3 linked regions of the Macaca mulatta genome follow. The protein of the gene in region 3 purifies or fractionates together with the protein of the main gene of each other region. This does not show direct contact. Links are inferred from orthologs where the notes say so. Each region holds a gene or a part of one and is shown on either strand. Other genes may lie near its edges.

What was found. Proteins that work in one complex are often made in the same cells at the same time.
Region 1: the proteins of SNX9 (region 3) and SYNJ1 purify together in Homo sapiens (co-immunoprecipitation; 3 studies listed by BioGRID and IntAct, counting the BioPlex papers as one, with this or other methods). This does not show direct contact. The link is inferred for Macaca mulatta from reciprocal best matches to the Homo sapiens genes SNX9 and SYNJ1.
Region 2: the proteins of SNX9 (region 3) and DNM1 purify together in Homo sapiens (co-immunoprecipitation; 6 studies listed by BioGRID and IntAct, counting the BioPlex papers as one, with this or other methods). This does not show direct contact. The link is inferred for Macaca mulatta from reciprocal best matches to the Homo sapiens genes SNX9 and DNM1.

What each region holds. Positions count from the first base shown.
Region 1 is NC_133408.1:14,731,383-14,735,756, forward strand, and holds the end of SYNJ1 (synaptojanin-1), read left to right. Parts: intron 1-525; coding exon 526-1,338; 3' UTR 1,339-3,576; downstream 3,577-4,374. UniProt on the Homo sapiens protein: Phosphatase that acts on various phosphoinositides, including phosphatidylinositol 4-phosphate, phosphatidylinositol (4,5)-bisphosphate and phosphatidylinositol (3,4,5)-trisphosphate. Has a role in clathrin-mediated endocytosis.
Region 2 is NC_133420.1:19,437,484-19,441,788, reverse strand, and holds part of DNM1 (dynamin-1), read left to right. Parts: intron 1-111; coding exon 112-223; exon of another isoform or gene 224-227; intron 228-967; coding exon 968-979; intron 980-1,630; coding exon 1,631-1,801; intron 1,802-3,281; coding exon 3,282-3,523; intron 3,524-3,890; coding exon 3,891-4,106; coding exon of another isoform or gene 4,107-4,110; intron 4,111-4,305. UniProt on the Homo sapiens protein: Catalyzes the hydrolysis of GTP and utilizes this energy to mediate vesicle scission and participates in many forms of endocytosis, such as clathrin-mediated endocytosis or synaptic vesicle endocytosis as well as rapid endocytosis (RE).
Region 3 is NC_133409.1:76,689,249-76,694,124, reverse strand, and holds the start of SNX9 (sorting nexin-9), read right to left. Parts: upstream 3,323-4,876; 5' UTR 3,111-3,322; coding exon 3,099-3,110; intron 1-3,098. UniProt on the Homo sapiens protein: Involved in endocytosis and intracellular vesicle trafficking, both during interphase and at the end of mitosis. Required for efficient progress through mitosis and cytokinesis. Required for normal formation of the cleavage furrow at the end of mitosis.

The DNA of each region.
Region 1 (4,374 bases), on a different chromosome or scaffold from region 3:
CTTATGAATAAAATATGCTAATAGAATTTATTTTATCTATAAAATTGAATTTCCATAGTAACATTAATTTTAAATGAAAACATACTTAAAAGAACAATGAAACCACATCATCATCATCATAGATGGGTGTTGGAAATTTATTTATATAGATTCACCGTAAGTCATAAGTATGGATTTCTTAAGTTCATACTGAAATGTGATAGAACTGGGCATGAACAAATTTGTTAATTCTATACAATTCTCCTTCTTACCATTTCAAAACTTGCATGAATGAAATAAGCTCTGATTTTGAGAGATTTAAAAAATTGATTTAATTAGAAAGGATTTATTTAGAAAGAAGTTTTTAAAGATTGTAGCTGTTTCATCTTATTTAAACCACCAGAGTAACAAACTACACAAAGCTACTTTTTAGTTTCTAAATTTACATGCTTGCCCCTAAAAAGGGAAGAATAATTGAGACAGGAAGAATGGGGGGTATTAAAAGTAAATATAAACTGGTTTTTCAGTGCTCCCTTTCTTTCGCAGGTAAAAACAAATGGAATCTCTGGTGTCAAACGAGAATCACCGTTAAAGATTGACCCATTTGAAGATCTGTCATTTAATCTGCTTGCTGTATCAAAGGCTCAGCTATCTGTTCAAACGTCACCTGTTCCAACCCCAGACCCAAAGAGGTTGATTCAGTTGCCTTCTGTAACGCAAAGTAATGTTAATACTTTGAGTTCTGTGAGTTGCATGCCAACAATGCCTCCAATTCCAGCTCGGAGTCAGTCCCAGGAAAATATGCGAAGTTCTCCAAACCCGTTTATTACCGGCTTGACCAGGACAAATCCTTTCAGTGACAGGACTGCTGCTCCTGGAAACCCATTTAAAGCCAAGTCTCAAGAATCAGAGGCAACTTCATGGTTCTCCAAAGAAGAGCCCGTTACTATCAATCCTTTCCCTTCTCTGCAGCCTCTCAGTCATAACGAAGGCAAGGCTTCATCTTCACTTGATGGCTTTAAGGAAAGTTTTGATCTACAGGGGCAGTCTACATTAACAATTAGCAACCCAAAAGGATGGGTAACCTTTGAGGAAGAAGAGGACTTTGGTGTGAAAGGGAAGTCAAAGTCAGCTTGTTCAGATTTACTGGGTAATCTGCCAAGTTCATTTTCCAGCTCCAACCTGACATTGAATGATGACTGGAATAAAGGTACAAATGTCTCTTTCTGTGTGTTGCCATCAAGAAGACCTCCTCCACCTCCTGTCCCTCTGCTCCTGCCTGGCACCAGCCCTCCAGTAGATCCTTTCACGACCTTGGCCTCTAAGGCTTCGCCCACACTGGACTTTACAGAAAGATAACGCCACGCAACAGAAGACAGTGGGTATTTGCTTTTGGCAGGTAGAGCCAAGAGAATTGGGCATTCGTATTTCATTATGTGCAATAAGTCATTGTAAGTGCACTGATATCTTCACAAAACACCACTATTTGATGTGTACAGAGTTGGAATATGTGTATATTGGAAATAAGGAAAAACCCTTCTCATTGTTAACTGGAGTTTTGATGTATTTCTCTTTGGATGAATAGGAGACAGTAGTAGCCATAAAAAGTGCTTAAAACTACTTTAGAAAACAGTCCTTATTCAGAAACTTTTCGGTCAGGCTTCTGAAGAATCTCAAAAAAGCCCACCCAACTTTCAGCTGACATTTCCACCAGCCCTCTCATACTTGTTAACAATTGGTTATCTATGAGTATTTACCAAAGAGCTGCCAAGGTTACAGTGAACAGTTTTGAAAGGCATTGCTTTAAAGGAAAAAAGTATAGGTATGTGTACATATATAATACATACAAACACATATACTTCCATATACATTTATATATTTTCACAATTCATAGTTTAATTTCTAGGATATAACTCAGACCAAATTATACCTAAAAGTTCCAAGAGAGTCCCTTTCTCAATATCACATTACCAAAAAGATGGCTGCAATGTAATTTGGACCTTTCATTAATTTTGTTTTCAAAACTAGAATAATCTCACCACAGAATCAGAATTTTCTACCATTCCACACCCAACACCTTCAAATACACACAACCTTGTTACTTTTTACTCCAGCGCTTTCATATGCTTTTCTCCAGGAGGAGGTTCTTGCCGCTGGAAACAGCCTATTTTGTGGTCACTGTCAAGTGGATGGATATTCTAGTGCTCCCAAAAAAGCACTATGGCCTTATATGCAGGGAAGGCACATACCACCAAGTTCAAGGAGAAATATTAGAGCTAACCGTACTCTCTTCTCTGCGTACATTTGAATGTACGTTGCCTGTATCCCTCCCATATTTTCTTTTTGCTGCTTTTGCTCTGGAACTTTGCTTTTAGCAGGGAAAGCAGCCATCCCCTGAGTGCTTTGAATTGGGGATATATCCACTGTGTTCTCCCCCCTCTTACGAGGCTACATAACACATCTCTGATGCTGCTTTAAGTTTTTAGAGGCTATACCTCAAATTAGCTGTGGATTTTGTCTCCTGCACTGCCAATATGCAACTGATCCCGCTTTTATTAATTTTATGAAGAAGTACACAGAATTTTTACAGAATGTAGTATTTTGATATCATTAAGTAAACCAATCAGAAAACTCCTTGAGCAATAGTTGTTTCTTTGTCAGTTTCCATTACAATCATCTTTACCCATTAAGACTTACATTAGCGTTCCTTTTATATAAAGAGTTGTATATGTCCACCTAAATTCCTATGTCCACACTTAACCTTTAAAGATGTACATTGAGGGAATATAAAAAAATAGCGTTCATGGCTACGAATATGTAAAATGTTAAAAGCACAGCAAACTGCACTGCACTTAGACATAAAGCAAATCTATTAGGAAAAAAAAGCATTTTTCTAAATGCTCAAATGTTATCAAAATACTATATTTATAGAAGTAATCTTCTCTGTTAACAGCCAGGATTTGCTGTTAGAAATAACTCTTGTGAGTTTTACATTGTGCTTTTTGGAGGTTCTAATCATTTCAGCAGTAGTGTCTTTTAAACAGCAGTATTACTATAAGCAGTATGCTTCAAAATGTGAATTAACTTGTTGAAATTGTGGCTTTAACATCCATGTGACTCGTGTATATGGTATTTGCTCTCCATTAGCAAAATAATTCATTGTTAGGTAAACTTCACTAGTGCAAATTGCAGTTCTGTGAGCAATGTTTCCTATTGGATATAAACTACTGTCTAAAATATACATATCAGCAGCCCAGCCTTTATCAGGAAATTACACTTGGCAAGTTGCTGAAAATGCACAAAGTTATGAAAGTTAAAGGTATGCTGCAAATAACTAGCCATTATTCTGTGTATTATTAAATATTTACTAGTTCTGTTAAAAGCAGAGCAGAAGTTAGACACTAAGATCTCTTTGTGAACTCTGTGTTCTCTATATTAGATTGCTGTTTATATGTAAGATTTTATTGCTTATGTGGCATACAATATTTATAATGATAAACTTTATAGAAGTACAGTATTAAAGTCAGTGGTACACAGACATTCTGTACATATCCTGTGAAACGTGCTGTCATATGAAATAAATATATCTGTCTTTACCATGCTGACTTCTTTGTTCGAAAGGGAAGAATTTTTCTCAGCCATTTTCCGTGTACTTTACATACACAAGTTTAGTGACGTTCAAACTAAATAAGCCTAACCCTTATTGCCGAATCAGGTATTTTAATTCAAGACCTTATTTTCATTTCTCCAGATAGTGCTTCCTCTAAAAGTAAGAAGAAAGATTTTCTGAGATTACTAATCATTATTAAAAAGTCCATGCCCAGCCTCGCCAACATGGTGAAACCCTGTCTCTACTAAAAATACAAAAAAAAAAAAAAAAAAAATTAGCCAGGTGTGGTGGCGCAGGCCTGTAATCCCAGCTACTGGGGAGGCTGAGGCAGGAGAATGGCTACAACCTGGGAGGCAGAGGTTGCAGTGAGCCAAGATCGTGCCATTGCACTCCAGCCTGGGCGACAAGAGCGAAACTCTTTCTGGGGAAAAGAAAAAAAAAAAAAGAAGGTCCATGCACTTACTCCATAAGAGAGGCCCTAACTCAAAATCATGCTGACTTGAAAATAATACATGAAATATGAATTATTTTTCTTACCCAAAGCAGAAGGAACAACTGGGGGGCAAAAAGGAATTGGGACACAACCAGACAGAAAAAGGGACTGACTAAAAAGACCCAAAGTAAAAGGCCAGGGCCGGGTGTGGTGGCTCATGCCTATAATCCCAGCACTTTGGGAGGCCAAGATGGGTGGATCATGAGGTCAGGAGTTCGAGATCAGCCTGACAAACATGGTGAAACCCTGTCTATACTAAAAATACAAAAATTAACTGGGTGTGGTGGCAGGG
Region 2 (4,305 bases), on a different chromosome or scaffold from region 3:
GGGAAATGAGCTGGCCTCAGGCATGGTGACCCCAAAGTCTGGGCATGCCCTTAACCCCCAGGGAGGGTGGGGCTTTGCCCATCTGCCCTCACCATCCGCCCTGTCTTGCAGGAATGTCTATAAGGATTATCGGCAGCTGGAGCTGGCCTGTGAGACACAGGAGGAGGTGGACAGCTGGAAGGCCTCCTTCCTGAGGGCTGGCGTATACCCTGAGCGTGTTGGGGTGAGTGGCAGGGCAAGGAGAGGAGGGGCAAGCATGATCCTAAGGCCCCTGGGGCACCATCCTCAGTGATGCCAAGTCACGTCATGTTTCCGAGCCCTTATTTGGCTCAGAAATAATAGGAATCCTGGCCGGGCGCGGTGGCTCAAGCCTGTAATCCCAGCACTTTGGGAGGCCGAGGCGGGTGGATCACGAGGTCAGGAGATCGAGACTATCCTGGCTAACATGGTGAAACCCCGTCTCTACTAAAAATACAAAAAACTAGCCGGGCGTGGTGGCGGCCGCCTGTAGTCTCAGCTACTTGGGAGGCTGAGGCGGGAGAATGGCGTGAACCCGGGAGGCGGAGCTTGCAGTGAGCCGAGATCACGCCACTGCACTCCAGCCTGGGAGACACAGCGAGACTCCGTCTCAAAAAAAAAAAAATAGGAATCCTTCCCCCTACCCACTCTGGGGGTGGGAACAGAGATAAGTCTCCTGGTCCTCCCATCCTTCTCCAGTGGCAGTTTCACGTCTCTGTCTCTGTTGCAGATGGCATTTCTATATTCCCCTTTCTATGATGGTGGTTTCTTGTGACTGCCTTCTCTTTCCTCCCCTATTTCACTGTGGCAATGTCTAGAGTAGCCTGAGAGTTGGGGTGCAGTGTCCCCAGGTTCACTCAATCTCTCCCCTTTTCCTCTCTGTATGTTTCCTTTGGCTGTGCTCCCTGGTGGTGGTGGTGGTGACAATGTTGGTGTGTGGGCCTCCCAGGACAAAGAGAAAGTGAGTATGCCCTTCTCTTGCCTCCTGTCAGGCATCTGCAGCCTGGCACCAGCTCCAGCCAGGTTTTCAAGCAAGGGACCAGGAGATGTTCTTTTCTAATTTCTGGATTGGGGCCAGGCGCAGTGGCTCGCGCCTGTAAACCCAACACTTTGGGAGGCCGAGGTGGGCCGATCATGAGGTCAGGAGTTTGAGACCAGCCTGGCAACACGGTGAAACTCCATCTCTACTAAAAATAACAAAAGTTAGCCAGGCATGGTGGTGCGCACCTGTAATCCCAGCTACTCAGGAGGCTGAGGCAGGACAATCGCTTGAACCTGGGAGGCAGAGGATGCAATGAACCAAGACAGCACCACTGCCCTCCAGCCTGGGCGACAGAGCAAGACTCTCTCAAAATAATAATAATAATAATTTCTGGATTGGGAAATTGAGGCAAATTCTAGGCACTAGAGTCAGAACCAAGACAAGGCTGAATCAGGGGAGTCTAGGGTCCTGAGAGGCACAGGGATGGAGAGCCTGGTGTGTGTTCAGGCCAGTTGCTTCTCTCTGTGCCTCAATGTTCTGGGTACCTTTGGAGGGGCTGAGATCCTGGCGATGCCTGGAGCCTGGCTGCGTGGCCTGGCCACCCTGATGCCCTTGTGTTCTCCATGGCAGGCCAGTGAGACCGAGGAGAATGGCTCCGACAGCTTCATGCATTCCATGGACCCACAGCTGGAACGGCAAGTGGAGACCATCCGGAATCTTGTGGACTCGTACATGGCCATTGTCAACAAGACCGTGCGGGACCTCATGCCCAAAACCATCATGCACCTCATGATTAACAATGTGCGTGCTCCGCCGCATGGGGGCAGGGAAGTCCTGTGGCACTGGGGACGCAGGTGGCCATGTTGGCCTGGGGGAGATGCCAACCAGCCCTGTGGGACCAGGTCCAGGGAGGGAGGCACGGTCCAGACCAGAGCTGTCCGATAGAAATATAATGAGGGTCTGAGCACAGTGGCTCACACCTGGAATCCCGGCACTGTGGGAGGTCAAGGCAGGCGGAACACTTGAGGTCAGGGGTTCAAGACCAGCCTGGCCAACATGGTGAAACCCCGTCTCTACTAAAAATAGAAAAATTAGCTAGGTGTGGTAGCGTGAGCCTGTAATCACAGCTACTTGGGAGGCTGAGACAGGAGAATCACTTGAACCCGGGAGGTGGAGGTTGCAGTGGGCGGAGGTTGCAGTGAGCTGAGATCCTGCCACTGTACTCCAGCCTGGCCGACAGAGCGAGATTCCATCTCAAAAAAAAGAAAAAAGAAAAAAGAGAAAAGAAAGAAATATAATGAGGGGCTGGGCATGGTGGCTCATAACTGTAATCCCAGCACTTTGGGAGGCCAAGGCAGGAGGATCACTTGAGCCCAGGAGTTCAAGACCAGCTTGGGCAACACAGTGAGACCTCGTCTCTACACAGAAATTTTAAAGAATAGCTGGGGTTGGCTGGGTGCGGCGGCTCATGCCTGTAATCCCAGCACTTTGGGAGGCCAAGGTGGGCGGATCACCTGAGGTTGGAAGTTTGAGACCAGCCTGACCAACATGGAGAAACTCCGTCTCTATTAAAAATACAAAATTAGCCGGTCACGGTGGTGCATGCCTGTAATCCCAGCTACTCGGGAGGCTGAGGCAGGAGAATTGCTTGAACCCGGGAGGTGGAGGTTGCGGTGAGCCAAGATTGTGCCATTGCACTCCAGCCTGGGCAACAAGAGCAAAACTCCCTCTCAAAAAAAAAAAAAAAAAAAAAAAAAAAAAAAAAAAATATATATATATATATATATATATATATATATATATATATAAAGAAAAGCTGGGGTTGGTGGTAGCACGTGCCTGTAGTCCTAGCTACTGGAGAGGCTGACATTGGAAGATAACTTTGAGCCCAGGAGGTTGAGGCTACAGTGAGTTGTAATCTTGCCACTGTACTCCAGCCTGGCGACAGAGCGAGACCCTATCTCAAAAAAAAAACAAAAACAAAGAAAATCAAAACAAAAACTGAGTAGACAAGTGTTCTGGTGGCGTGATAGGTCCTAAGTCCCCTCCCGGATCTGTGACCTTAGTCAGGTGACTTTTCCTGTAGACCTCAGTGTCCTCATCTGAGCGAGAAAAGCGCGGTGGGGAGGCGAATCTTCCAGTCTACGCAGTGTAGGAGCCGCGTGGGAAAAGCCATACCAGCTCACAGTCCCGTGGGGGGCCGTGGGGGCCGGCCGGGTGGGGCGGCCAGGGCGGCACAGGCATCAAGTCCCCACCTCCTTCCCTCTTTGCCTACTCGCAGACCAAGGAGTTCATCTTCTCGGAGCTGCTGGCCAACCTGTACTCGTGTGGGGACCAGAACACGCTGATGGAGGAGTCGGCGGAGCAGGCACAGCGGCGCGACGAGATGCTGCGCATGTACCACGCTCTGAAGGAGGCGCTCAGCATCATCGGCGACATCAATACGACCACCGTCAGCACGCCCATGCCCCCGCCCGTGGACGACTCCTGGCTGCAGGTGCAGAGCGTACCGGCCGGACGCAGGTACCAGGGCCGGCCCCCACGGCCCCAAAGCCCCCCAGCCCGGGGCCCACGGGAGGAGTGCCGGGACCGGGCAGTGGCGCGCCCGCGTCACCGGGCGGCTCCCACCTGGAGCGAGGGGCGGAGCTTAGAGAGGGCGGGGCTTGCCGCGGGGCGGGGCTTGCCGTGGAGAGCTGGCTGCGAGGCGGGGTGGAGCTGGGACGTTGGCGCCGCTGGGGGCGGGGCTTAAGCTCCGGCGACCGCCTCGGGGCACGGCAGGGAGGGGCTTTGCGTGCATGGGCGTGGCAAGCACTGGGCTGGGGCGGGGCCTCAGTGTGGGCGGAGCCGCTCATCTCGCCTCTCCTTGTTTCTCGCTGCCTGTCGCCCTCAGGTCGCCCACGTCCAGCCCCACGCCGCAGCGCCGAGCCCCCGCCGTGCCCCCAGCCCGGCCCGGGTCGCGGGGCCCTGCTCCTGGGCCTCCGCCTGCTGGGTCCGCCCTGGGGGGGGCGCCCCCCGTGCCCTCCAGGCCGGGGGCTTCCCCTGACCCTTTCGGCCCTCCCCCTCAGGTGCCCTCGCGCCCCAACCGCGCCCCGCCCGGGGTCCCCAGGTGAGTAGGGGCTGAATGCGGCTGGAGAGGCTGCCGGACGGGCGTGGCCGGGAGGGAAATGGGGCTGGATTCCAGAGCATCGGACCCGGCCGCCAGAACCGGCCGTTTCCATCCCAGGCAATCGGACTCTGGGTGCCGGAGCCACGCCACGTGTGGCCGAGGGCTGGCGGAGCCTGCCCCCGAGGGAGCGCTGAGTCCC
Region 3 (4,876 bases):
TCTTTTTTTTTTTTTTTTTTTTTTTGGAGACAGAGTCTCACTCTGTCACCCAGGCTAGAGTGCAGTGGCGCGATCTTGGCTCACTGCAAGCTCTGCCTCCCGGGTTCACACCATTCTCCTGCCCCAGCCTCCCGAGTAGCTAGAACTACAGGTGACCGCCACCACGCCCAGCTATTTTTTTTTTTTTTTTGTACTTTTAGTAGAGACGGAGTTTCACTGTGTTAGCCAGGATTGTCTCGACCTCCTGACCTCGTGATCCGCCTGCCTCGGTTTCCCAAAGTGCTGGGATTACAGGTGTGAGCCACCGCACCTGGCCCTGATTAACTTTCCTTAGCAGTGAAGGACTGTTCAACTAAACTACTTCTTCTAAATGATAATTTCCTTTTCTATTGTAAAATATACTAGTGCAGTTTTTTAAAATGCCAATAGTTCAGTGATAACCACATCCTTAAGAAAATACTTAAGAACAAACAAGAAAATTGTATCTGAAGATACTATAGCCAAGTTTCTGGTAAATTCAAAGGGAAATGAACATCCCCTAAAATATCCAGATCCTGAATTTACTTTTCATCACTTAATACTTACAGCAACAGCCTGAGTGCCACTGGAGCCATTTATTAAAAATTAGTCATTACTACTAAGCACATTCTCCCCACCCCTTGAAGAAGACGAAGAAAAAAAACAGAACTACTCAGGTGTGGGGAAGGGGTGTGTATATGGGGCAAGTGAGGAAAGTAGCAACTTGTCTCTCTGGGGACAATTAAAAAATGAGACTTTGGTTTGACCCAAGTATCACCAGGATGTCAGAAAACTAAGGAAGGGTCTTCTTCTAACAACTGCTTCATTGCTCTTCTTTTTCTTAAAATGGAAATGGTCTGTCACAATGTAGACATGGAAATGAGCACCATGTGGAACAGTGATTAGACAGCGAAAGAAACTAACAGAATTACTGGAATTTGCCTTCGGAGTGGTGTAGATAACGAAGTAGGAAGTGCTTATGCATGTTTTAAGGCTCGTGTTTAAGCAAAGACACATGCAATTCAAGATTAATATACAAGAACCACTTTTCAATTTTTTGAAAAAAAAAATTAAGTTCAGGCTTAACTATGAAATAAAAATTTCACTACGTATACCTGCACTAGTTGCTAAACTGCATTCCACTTAAAGGACAGTACAGGTAACATGCCTCAGTAGACCAGAGTGTAAAAACACACAGACCACCACTGGACAGATCTCTATGTCATACACCGCCTTGGTTTTTTTTTTTTTTTTCAAACGGAGTCTCCTCGCTCTGTAGCCCAGGCCGGAGTGCAGCGACGCCATCTTGGCTCACTGCAACCTCCGCCTCCCGGGTTCAAGCGATTCTCCTGCCTCGGCCTCCCGGAGCAGCTGGGGCTACAGGCGCGCGCCACCACGCCCAGCTAATTTTTGTATTTTTAGTAGAGACGGAGTTTCACCATATTGGCCAGGCTGTATGGAGCTCCGACCTCAGGTGAACCGCCCACCGCGGCCTCCCAAAGTGCTGGAATTACAGGTGGGAGTGAGCCGCCGCGCCCAGCCTATAAACCGCTGTTAAGGTTGCAAGATGAGCGTGTACTAGGATGTGTAACTGGTAATTTCTGGAGTGTCTGGCAACAAACCTCAAAATCAAATTTCCTTAGAAATCCTTGGCCTAAGTTTTATTTTTAAAAAGGTCAACACAAAATTAATAAGTTCAAAAGGTGGCAAGTTCTATCACATTAATAAAACCAAAGCACAGCACAGGCAATAATATATTAACAAGAAGGTAATTATTTCAGTAACAGCAGCAACAGGTTCCCTGGAGGAGAATCCCCACTTCTCTATAAACGCTGCACCTAGATGGATTCAGAGCACAAAATTTACCACAGGACATCTAGCAGACCGAAGTCAAGCAACGCTGATCTTTTAAACAGATTTCACATTTCTTACCATTTCCTACCTTAACACTCCACCAAAAAAAGCAAATAGCTATCGAAATATAAAAAATAACGTTTCTAGCAACCCAAAAGTAGTCAGAGATCTCAAAAAAAAAAAAAAAAAATAGGGAAAGGGGTGCTGATGCTAATAAAGTGACACTACAAAAACTAAGTGCAAAAGTAAACCTACTCCTCACAGCGTATCACAGAACAGTTAATGGTTCAGGTACAGAGCCTCCTCCCCCAGGTCCTCCTTCCGCGACCATGACTCCCCAGTGACTATTTTACACCAAGTAACTACTGAAAACGCCCAAGGAAAAGGAGTGGGGGAGGGTGGCTTTTGAAGATTCAGGTAGCAAAGAGTGACTGCTAATTTCATAAACAATAATGCAAAACAAGCAAACCACCGCTCCTAGCCAATTACCAAGCAGGAGTCAAAGTTCCACCACGTAATTCGGGCCTGGGCCTTTTTTAGGCAAACACGTAATCGAAAGCACAGTCATTTCCCTCTTGATATTTTATTCATGCCGGCAATACCATTCACACTGAGCAGGTAGCAAAACAAAAGAAAAAAATAACAGCAGAGAAGGCAGAGGGGCGCGGGGTGTCCCAGCCTCTGTCTCTCCCCGGCCGCGAGCTCCCGCAGGCCGGGACGGGAAGCGCAGCGTCCTCTCTGCTGAGGTCTCGACCCCCACCCGCCCCACGGGGCCGAGGGTCCCCTGGGCGGCAGCGGGAGGGGACGTGGGGGCGGCGGGGACGCCAGACGCCGCGGGGACACCGGACGCCACAGAGAGCCTGTCGCCTCGGGGGCCTCCCCGGGCTGCGGGAAGTTTCCGTCCCGCTCTCGCGGCCCCTCCCGGCGAGCCCGCCGCAGCCCAAGCTCAGGTGCAAACTTCCCAAACGTCGCTGCACCCGGGGTCCCAACCCGCGCCCAGACCCGACGCCCTCCCCCGGCGCGATCCCGGCCGTCTGCACGGTCCGCCGCACCCATGCCCAGAAGGGACTGGCTGGGCCGCGGACCCGCCCGGGGACCCCACCGAGGACGCAGAGTGGCCCCTCGGCCGCCCCCGGCCCCAACCCTCCCCGCGGCCCCAGCCCCGACCGTCCCCGCGCCGCCGCGGGCCTGAGCGACCGGCCGGGCCTGCGCTGCGCGCCCCTCACCTTGGTGGCCATGGCGGGCGGGTCCCCCGGCCCGGGACGGCCGGCTTGTCTCCCGCGCCGCGGATGGTGATTCTGAGCCGCGCGGACGAAGGCAAGGGCGAGGGCGGCGGCTCCGGCTGGGCCCCGGCGCGGCGGCCGCTCCTCCGCCTCGGCCCCGAGTCTCGACGCTCAGGCCCAGCCGCTGGGCGCTCGGCTACTCCCGCGCCGCCCGCTCCTGCAGTTCCTGAAAGTCCCCGGCTGCGCGGCCCCCGCCCCTGCCGGCCGAGCCTCCCTTTTACCGCGGCGCGCGCGGCGCCCGGCGGAAGCGCGCCCTGGGCCCTCGGCCGCGGCCCGGCCTCCTCGCCTCCTGGCCGCCCCCGCGCTGCGCCGCGCCGCGCCGCCGCCCCGGGCAGTCGCTGCCGCCGCCGCCGGGCGCCCTGGGTCGAGGACGGGGGCTGCGTCCCGCGCGGCGGCGGGATCCGGACAGGCGCCCCGGGCCATGGCCCGCACCCTGCGTGGCCGCCCCACAGGAAGCGCTCCGCGGCCCGCACAGCCGCTCGGGGGAGCCGAACCCGACTCCGGTTCACGCTCGGCCAGCGCCGCACGCCGTGGCTCGGGGCTTTCCGTGCATGAGGCGGGCGGGGGGGCAGGAACTCTCGACGCTCCCGGCAGACAGGAGCCCCGCAACCCCGCTGTCTTTGCCCCACGCCGAGGGTGTTGCGGGGTCGCCGTGCCCTTGGCCGAGTACTTTGAGTGCCACGTAAACAGCCGGGAAGGAACGGAGCAATGGCTTCCTGGGCCTCTTTCTCCTGCCCGGAGGCTCCCTCAGGCTGGGGTCCTGGCTTGGAGCCCCTGGGACGGGACGGTGGGGGGTTCGTTTTGTGACGTCCCATTAACCTCATTCTGGAATCTTGATAAGTTTAAAAATGCCCGAGGGCCCAAGAGGTTTAGGGGACAACAGGCTCTCTGAAGTGGAAATGAGGGCTCTAAAATTTTCCATCTTTCTGTCAGTGTTTCTCTCCAGAGTTGGAGATATATATATGGGTGTTATGAATAAACGAATGACTTGAATTGAGCAGCAAGATTTTTCGCTCAAGGACAAAACACAACTGGAAGATGTATCATAATTGGCATATTAGTGGAGTGCTTTTTTATTATGAGGGATATATTTGTAAGAAGAGACAACTATCAAATCTTCAATACTCTGGTATTTAGAGTTAATGTCAAGTTTGTGTCTCCTTAAATACATTCTATTTGACCTGAGGTTTCACTAGTTACATTCAATAATGTGGTTTAAAATAGATACGGTATCGCAGAATTTTCTGTGAATTTTTGTGTTTGTTGAGCTCATGGTTAAGCTATAGTCGTCATAATATGCATAAATAGTTGTCTTTCTCCATAAAAAAAGATGGAGGCCAATATTCATTGACAGCCTGCTTGCTATATACTGGGCTTTTACATCCCCATCTCATTTAATCCTTATAAGAAACGTTTGAGAAGCTCATTATTGTCCACTGTTTACAAAGAAGAGCGAATCAGGGCTCACTTAAATAACTTGCGCTTTTGGTAATACTTACTCAAATCGAAAATGACCACAGCCTTGGACCCAGCAGCCCTCCTAGGAGTTTATCCTGTCAAACTTGTACAAGTGATCAAAGATGTTCATCAAAGATTGTTCGGTCCTAACTCCAACCAGAAAACAACCTATGTGTTTGTTAACAGGACTCTTTCAGTAAATAAGATACATCCATTCAAACAAAATACTACAAAGCCCGTAAGAAAATAATATTTTAAGAGGT